2 linked regions of the Drosophila melanogaster genome follow. The protein of the gene in region 1 interacts with the protein of each later gene in a pairwise test. Each region holds a gene or a part of one and is shown in the gene's direction. Other genes may lie near its edges.

What was found.
Region 2: the proteins of CG12307 (region 1) and Sp1 interact in a two-hybrid assay, tested with the Drosophila melanogaster proteins (one large-scale study listed by BioGRID).

Annotation. Positions count from the first base shown.
Region 1 is NT_033779.5:11,650,698-11,654,077, reverse strand, and holds CG12307 (uncharacterized protein), read left to right. Parts: upstream 1-2,067; 5' UTR 2,068-2,138; coding exon 2,139-2,687; 3' UTR 2,688-2,747; downstream 2,748-3,380. Other genes in the region: CG4983 (uncharacterized protein), read right to left, coding at 320-1,423.
Region 2 is NC_004354.4:9,727,899-9,732,823, forward strand, and holds the start of Sp1 (Sp1), read left to right. Parts: upstream 1-1,749; 5' UTR 1,750-1,985; exon of another isoform or gene 1,986-2,401; 5' UTR 2,402-2,665; coding exon 2,666-2,779; intron 2,780-4,925.

The DNA of each region.
Region 1 (3,380 bases):
GTCCTTTTTATGTATACTTTATTTGCATCCGCATTTATTTTGCAAAATTGAGCTCACCTTTTTTGCATATTTTATGGGTCAATGCATTCAGAACGAAGTGACCGCAAATTTTTAGCGCATTTGAATTAATGACACTGAACATCAGTAAAAAAAAAAATGATAGACCGCAAATCAGGTTAGTTTTCTCTCTTCTGACTCGTTAACCAAACAGTAAAGTATATTGTAAAAACTTTTAATTTTCGATTTGATTTTTCTATTTAATAGCTAGCAGTTCTCAGTAAATATGAACTAAGAATTTGTTTGTCAAGGAAATGTGTTTCTAGGAAAGTACAGCATCGCTGAACCAAAATGTCATACGATCCCCATCGGTAAGTTTTTGAGGTACTTTGATCGAGTGATTCCGTGCCACGGAGTTGTAACGCCTAAAGTTTTCATTTCCGGCGTTTAGGCGATCCGCCATTTCGGCAGCCTGCTGGTTCAAGGACTGTCTGTAGGATAAAGCTGCTTCCGAATGAATATAGCTGGGGCCATCCTTGGATTCAGGTAGTACATTTGACTTGTTGGTCTTTGAAGGGACACGATCATTCCAAGAGTCTTGCCTTGCATTACTTGTGGCAACAACAGACGGGGCTTGTTCTTGAGAACTGGTCAGCTTCTTATCTTGCATTTTAAAATCGGAATGCTTTGGTTTTGCAGATTTTAGAGATTGTTTCGAGTCTGAGTCAGCAGGATTTAATTTGAAGGAGCGCTGCGTTCCAGTTTCTGATGGCTTATTTGAAACTTTTGATTTCATTGTGGTAGAGGAAGCTTTGGCTGCTTCTGAGAAATGTTTCGACTTCAAAATTGACTTCGGAGTGAGGGTGGTATTTGAGGAAATACTGTTGCCTATTGCAGATCGTTTCAATGTTATGTTCGAAGACTTTGAGGCCACGTCACCCTCACTTTGCTTATTTGTGCAGCTCGTCTTGGATGCCGCACTGAATTGTGATATGGATAATTTGGAATTTGCTCTACCATCACCACTGACCTGACGGTTTGACCTTATTGGCATTAGGGTGCGCAAAGAGTCCTTTGAAACCGCTTCCTTTGATTGAGATACCTTGGACAGCTTCGTTGTTGAAACACCACCCGCATCAATGCGATCTTTTTCATTGAGAACTTCGGCCTGCTTCTTGGCCACGGCCATCTCTTCATTGATGGCCTTGGAAATGTCCACCTCGCCGATAGTCGACTTGCCTATACTTTGGTTGCTCTTCCGGGAAACCAACTCCTCTGATGGTTGTACATATTCGGACTTGGGTACGAATACCGGTGGCGGATACGTAACGCATGTAGGTATTTTGAATTCAGATCGGGCTCCACTATTGGGTGGTCCCACATTGAATGGATTGAAGGGTTCTACGTCGAAGTCATCAGGAAACATGTTGGGTAGACAGGTTGGCAATTTCCTGTGGGACCTACGTGTTTGACCTTAACCTCTTAAACACCCAGAACCCACAAAAACTTACCTGATTCGGATTAAATTTTAGAAGGTATGGGCCAGGATGTGGTAATTTCTTGTGTTTGTGTCGGAAAGCCAAACTATTTTTTTCTAATTTTTGATTGGCTTTTCGATTAAGGCATCTCAAACGAACTGACACAAAAATCAGTTTATACTAGTCTTGAACAATTCCATTAAGGCAATCACTCTGTTTTAGGTTCTTTCTCTGTTATTTGTGTATACATAATTGGTGTGGCCACATGAATTCACATTGTTATTTTACATTCAAGTAATCTTGGTTATCCCTTTCTTGTTTTTCTTTTTATCTCTGACAATCTCGGGTGCCTTCTTCAAGTTCTACTCTCGGCTTAATTAAAAATGACTCCCGCTTCCTAGAGAGCTGACAAAGTTTATCAATTCGGAGTGTACGTGATGATAAGGTCGAAAATCCTCTGAGTTTTTCTTTCTTGCAAATATAGGGTGGTTGCTCAGAGTTAAGCCACATTAATTAGCAGGCCGAGGGATTTTCAAGCGAGTGCTGAGATTCTGTTGTCAGATCTATCTAAATCTCTCGTCAGTATTTTGATCAACTTTTAGGAGTGCGGTTGCTGAAATTCGAATTAGAAAATTCTAATAAAAAAAAAGAGACACCATTACAATGAAAAACTCAACTGTGCAAGACAGTTCACCGCAAGTGCCACAGAATGGCATGGTCACCTATGGCAGCGGGCTCGTCTTTGGCGGGAAAGTTTATCCGGTATTGGTGGACGGAAAGCCAATACAGCCACCCTTAGGTGCTCATCAGGCAGCAATGCAACAGCGCATGCAGATGCAGCAGGTACAGCCACAGGCGCCACATACCAACTGCCCCAAGTCCATTGTCCAACAACCTATATATCAACGAATGGAGACCCGGTATCCTGCGCCCTCATACATGTCCAAGCCAAGCCAACAGAGCTCTGTGAGTTGTCCTGGCCCAGTCATGGTGCAGCAGCACTCGCCGTCTAACAATCTCGCGATGATGCAACCGTTGCAGGCGCAGATTTTACAGCGCCAGCAAATGCAAACCTCCATGGGCAGTCCTTGCGGCTACTACAACCTGCCAACGAATGCGGGTGGTGATTCCTGCGGCTGGGACGGCTATGCCATGATGCAGCCAATGGATGCCAACAAGCCGTATACCTTTGGCTGGAGTCTTACCGATTGAGTCCTTTATCCTCTGTAACATTGTCCAAAACAATTAATGAAATTAAATGTGGATTGATTTATTCGAATTTGTTTCAATCAATGTACGTACTGCATGACTACTGTAAAAGTATTCATCTCTCTTGAAGAAGTTCCCCATAATGGCAGTTACTCGTCTGGGCTTCCATTTTGCACTTCATCGAGCTCTGAGGTTGCCCCTCGTATCAGTGGCACCTCGTTTCGGGGGTTGGTCGTCATTTAGTGGTAAATTTCCGTCTTAGTTGCCAGCGAACGTCAGACGTGACATTTTGCAAATTCCGTTTTCAGCATTTTGTCGAATCGTTCCAGCATACATGTGCCACTGAAAGTGGATTCCCAGCACCACCACCCATTTGCCTATTGATGCAGAGCTGCCGGTGGTATCAGTGGATAGGGGGGAGCATGTGTGGCAAAAGGGTTGTAACTGGTTTTCTAGTGGCTTCCGATTTTTTCACTGGCATTCAGCGACTGTTGTGATGGTAGTTTTATGAGAAGTGTCTAATGCCATTAAAATATTAAATCGTGGATTTATATATTTATCAGAATTTGCTAGGCTTTAAATTAATCGAAGATATTAGTGAACTGACATTTCCGCTTTCACATTGCTTATAGCTTGAGGGTGGAGATGGAAAGGGATGCATCGGTTATGCTATATTATTTATTCTACGGCATACCT
Region 2 (4,925 bases), on another chromosome or scaffold:
AAGTTAAAGTCAAATATTTCTTGTATTTTTATTTATCTTTTATTTATAATCATATTGAAAATTAAAACTAATAATAGGTGTTGGTTATCTTTAAAATTGATTTCATTATCAAGTTATTATGCTCGATACGTGCATACTGATTGGCACAAGGCCCACTTTTCCTCAATTTTCCCGCTGTGCAGAGAATTTCCCGCGGCCAGGCAACTTGTGCTGGGCACACTTCCACATCTCTACTGCCACATCATCCACCTCCATCGACAGTCCGTTGCTGGTTTTTGGACTTTTCAGCTTTTCTCACAGGGGCTGGCGTTTTTCGGCTGCCTGGGCGTTTTGTTTGCATAGAAAGGCCGGAGGGGTGGGGCGGCGAGAGGCGGGGCGGTACAGGGGGTGTGGTTCAATTAGCCCGCTTCTCAGCTGCAGCCCTGAAATGCAACAGCTCGACCGGCAGCTTCCAGCTGTGGGAGGCCCAACTGGCACGGGTTAATCTGGATTGGGTTCCGAATAATCACGACTTCTCGGGATCTTCCAAATCAGAGTCTAAGTACATATGTACATTGTTTTTAGTTTTCCTAAAATATTACTAAAATAACATGCTATGTAATCTTACAAATACTTTGAATTTCGTGAATTTTCTGAAACAGAATTTTCAAATGTGTCAGATAAATTCCAATTGTTAAACCCTTTTCTGCAGCCTTACATCCGGTGAAATCTTCCAAGTATTTGTTATGATTTTCGAACATTCTTAACTATCTATATATATTTAGCAATATTTTCCATTTCTAAACGCTGTGATAAAACCACACCTGGATTTATTTTGCTCAAGCTAAGACCATTTAAAGTCGCAATTTCCAGAGTTAGTCTACTTTTGGGGGCAAAGCTGTTGCAATCTAAGTTTCGCTGGTCTTTTCCAAATTTCCTTTTCTTTAATTTAGTCGTTTTCGAGGTAAAAACACGACCATTTCCCCGCAAAACTCCCTTTCGCTGCGACCGATAGTAACGAAAAGTCGAAATGGAAAACAATTTGTCATCTTGCGTGGATTTTCATTTCTATTCTCATACATATATTTCGTATACCCTTTTGTTTTTCCTACGATTTTCAGCTATCCAGTTCTGGGAAAACAACATTGGCGAACATTTAATTGAACGCAATAGTAGTTGTTGCCGTGTGTGCATTTGTTTTCAGTTTTTAACGCAGGCACGCGATGAAAGAGAGGGCCGCAGGACTGTCGAAAGAGACGGCACGAGGGGCACGTGTCCGTGTGCGTGCCATCTCGCTCGCACAGCGGCCATCGCTCTAATTATAGGTTAGGCCCGTCCGATCTGCCATTGGCCAAAGCGTTCATATAGAGGGGGCTGTGCTCTGGGAACTGGTTTTACCCAAAGCAGCCGGGGTTTTTATGAATGAAACTGGAAGGGAAAGGCGCACACACCACCAAAATACGAATACACGAATGCATATATATATATATATATATATCTTTACCCCTGGCACCCATTCGCACCACTCTAGAGAGTGGTGTGTGTTGTTTTATATTTTGTTGTTGCTGTTGTTTTTGGATTGTCTGTACGAGCGTCTCGCTTGCACTGATGGCATCGTTGGCCCCCACGTTGAATTTTGGTTAGTTGGAGTGAATTTACGACTGTGTGCTATCTCACTCGCACCGCTGCGGCAGCTACGCCGGCAGCGGCAGCGACTGTGGCAGCGTTGGTGGCAGCGGCGACATTTAGACAAGCTTTTTGTTCGCGTGAAACAGTTGCAAGCCTTTGAACGATCAGCGACGACGGCGTTACTTTTGGCGCGGATACAGCAGCGACACTTTTTTTTCGTTGGCAGGCGCCTCCTGTCACCAAACAAACAAATAAATAAACAAATAAACATAAAAACAAACAAGCAAATAAATAAACAATAAACCAACAAGCAAACAAACAAACATAAACAAGCCAACAAGCAGCCAAGCTAAACAAAACAACTGTGTGCATTTTTGGTTCGAGTTTCCTTTAATTTCCATCGCTTATATTTCATTTTTTTTTTGCCTGTGTTCCTTAGAAAAGAAGTCTATAAAGAATAAAAAAAATAAAAAAAAAATTAAGCCCATATATAGGCACAAAATCCCAGTGACAATAAGAGCAGTCAAACATTGCAACTCTCAGCAGCAAACATCAGCCGACGGCCGAGTGAAGAAAAGTGCAACGCCGACGGACTCGAGAAAAGATACAGATACAGATACGGATTATACATATCTGGGCTATTAGCTGGGCCATAATCTGCTCTCAAGCGATTTAGCCCACTTTGCTTTTTTTCTGAGTGCGTGTGTGCTTGTGCTGTGCTGTGCTGTGCTGTGCTGTGCTTGCCAATCCATTTGTCCATGTCCTTTACATCTTTTTTCCCTTACTCTCCAAGATCAGTGAGCCTGGCCTGCAACAATAGTCGCAACAAAGAAAAAAGTAGTTGAGTTGAGCAAGAAGAAAAGAATAGAAAATCGAACCCTAAACCCAAGTGGCCGCAAAACAAAGCAGAAGCAAAACAGACAGCATCATTGTGCGCCTCAAATTGACATCAGCAGCAGCAGCAGCAGCCGCAGCAGCAACGACAACTGCCACTGCCACTGCAGCAGCAGCAACATCAGCAGCAGCAGGAGACGCAGCAGGAACATCCACAGCAACCATGTTAACGGACATGACACCGACCGCCGGTCAGCTCTACGGATCCCAGATTCCGGCCATGGGCATGAACATCAGCAATATCGCCACACACTTGCAGAAGCCACAAGTTAATCCGGTAAGCCGAAATCTCAAATCCCAAATCCGAAGATACCAAAACCGCACCTCGAGATATGTATCTGCAAGATAGGTCACTACAGATACGATTTGGTCAGAGCGTTCTTATCGAAGTGTATCTTTCTTTTAACACTGGGCCTCAATTATGCACACTTACCGTCACTTTACACACAATTGCCATCCATCGAATAGAAAACTATCGACAGCATAGCCCAAAAGTAGTAGATTCTATTATACAGATACAATTACAGGGTGTAGAGATACAAATGTATCAATCTGTATAAGAAATTATAAAATTATGCCAATTATGGTGACCATTACTTTAGATACAATTGTCATGTCAGAAAGTTAATATTTGTAATATACAGAATTACAAGCATAATTGGGTCTTAATCAACTGTTCTAGAAAAACTAGTGTTTTTTGCACCCAAAAACGAAAAATGCCAATGTACTAAGAGCAATTTATTACACCCACTATTCGCTTCGCTAAACATTTCATAGTTATCGCTGCAGAGTTTAGCCCGAAAGTATCTCATAGATACATATGTGGGCTCACTGCGCACAAGTGACTGGCAGGCATTTGCTGACTTAGTCATGATTTGATGAATGCCTCCCGCAGACACTCGTGCACTTCGACATAAATCATTCGCGCAGAGAAGTCAAGAAGTTACTTTACGGCAAGTATTTCTGTATCTCACAGTTGCGGCTGCCAAATCCTTACCAATTGTCGCTTATAAAATATATGTACATACGTACAGTAATCGGACAAATCAGCCACTTACACGGCATTAGCATTGACAATAAACAGCCATAAACAAACAATGACAACAGACGCCGCGGATTTCGATTTGTATTCAGTTACGGATACGATTTCGCATCCGAGGAATTCACAGTAGCGCACACCTTTTGTCAGCCGCTCAGCTGGATTCCTTTTGTGAGGCGATGATGATTGGAACTCATCGGGATTGTTTGGTAGTATCTAATGCCGGGGAACGGGATACAAATCGATTGGACGCGGCTTGTTCAGCCCCGGATTTTTTCACTGTTTTCTGTGTGCCAACGGATTTCACGGTATGCGCCGCAGATACATAGCTGCAGATACAGATACTATTGATAGGCTGAGATACTGAGGTACCAGGTAGGCGCCGTTTGCCGTTTCTCGTTTCTCGCTCTCAAAATCAATTATTCAGGCTCACTTGAGGTGTGAAGCTAACGATGGAATCATTCCTGGGTCTACTTAAAATCTTTTTTTGTTGTTTTTTTTTTTTGTTTCATTTGGGGTTTTGGCAAATCTGTAGAGATCGTATTTCCACGCTGACTTTTCGACTCGTATCGCTTATCGCACAGCGGAAGCAAACACTTAAAGGCTAAAACGCATCAGGCAGCCGTTCATAATGATCTTTTGGCCCCGATCCAAAATTCGCTCATCAATCTCGTCCGGCCTTTGATCTGGACCGAAAAACTAAGACAGATTTCCGCTAATGATCGTTTTTGTACGGCTCCTCCGGGCTTTTGCTCTCGATTTCAATTCGAATTTCAGTTAGCTGATTATGCAAGTCCATCGTGCTGGCCCACATCATATGATATTGGTTCAAAACCCTGTAATTCACAGCAAAAGGTCAGCGGCTAGATCAGTTGGCTAAAAATAATTTGTTAAATTCCCCAAATGAAAACTTTGATGTCAATGCTAGAAGTCATTAAAATCAGAATCAGGGTTTGTAAAGTATTTAAAGAAGAATATAGTGTGTTCTAAAGTGTATACTTTAAAAGTTTAGCCAAACGAATAATTAAATAAATAAATTAGGGTTGATTGTACTTTAGATATACTATCTCTGTTCTGAAGGATTAGCCCGAATCGCATGACACTTTTAATAGAGTCAGCAACGCCAAATGGACGCAATGTGATTGAGGCACTTTCAATCTGCTGCCCCTGGCCACCACCTGCCCCTCCCCCCTCCCTCCTTTCCAACGTTCATTTTTCTCCGATTTTTTCACCTTTTTTTTTTTTGTCGAACCAAAGTGCAGACGCCACGCAATTGCGTGTGCCCATAAAAAAAAAAATGTATTTGCCAAGAACCGCAGAACGAAACGAGCTGGCTGCTATAAACTGGCCTGGTCTCTTGGTCTTTCGGTCTCGTTCTCGTTCT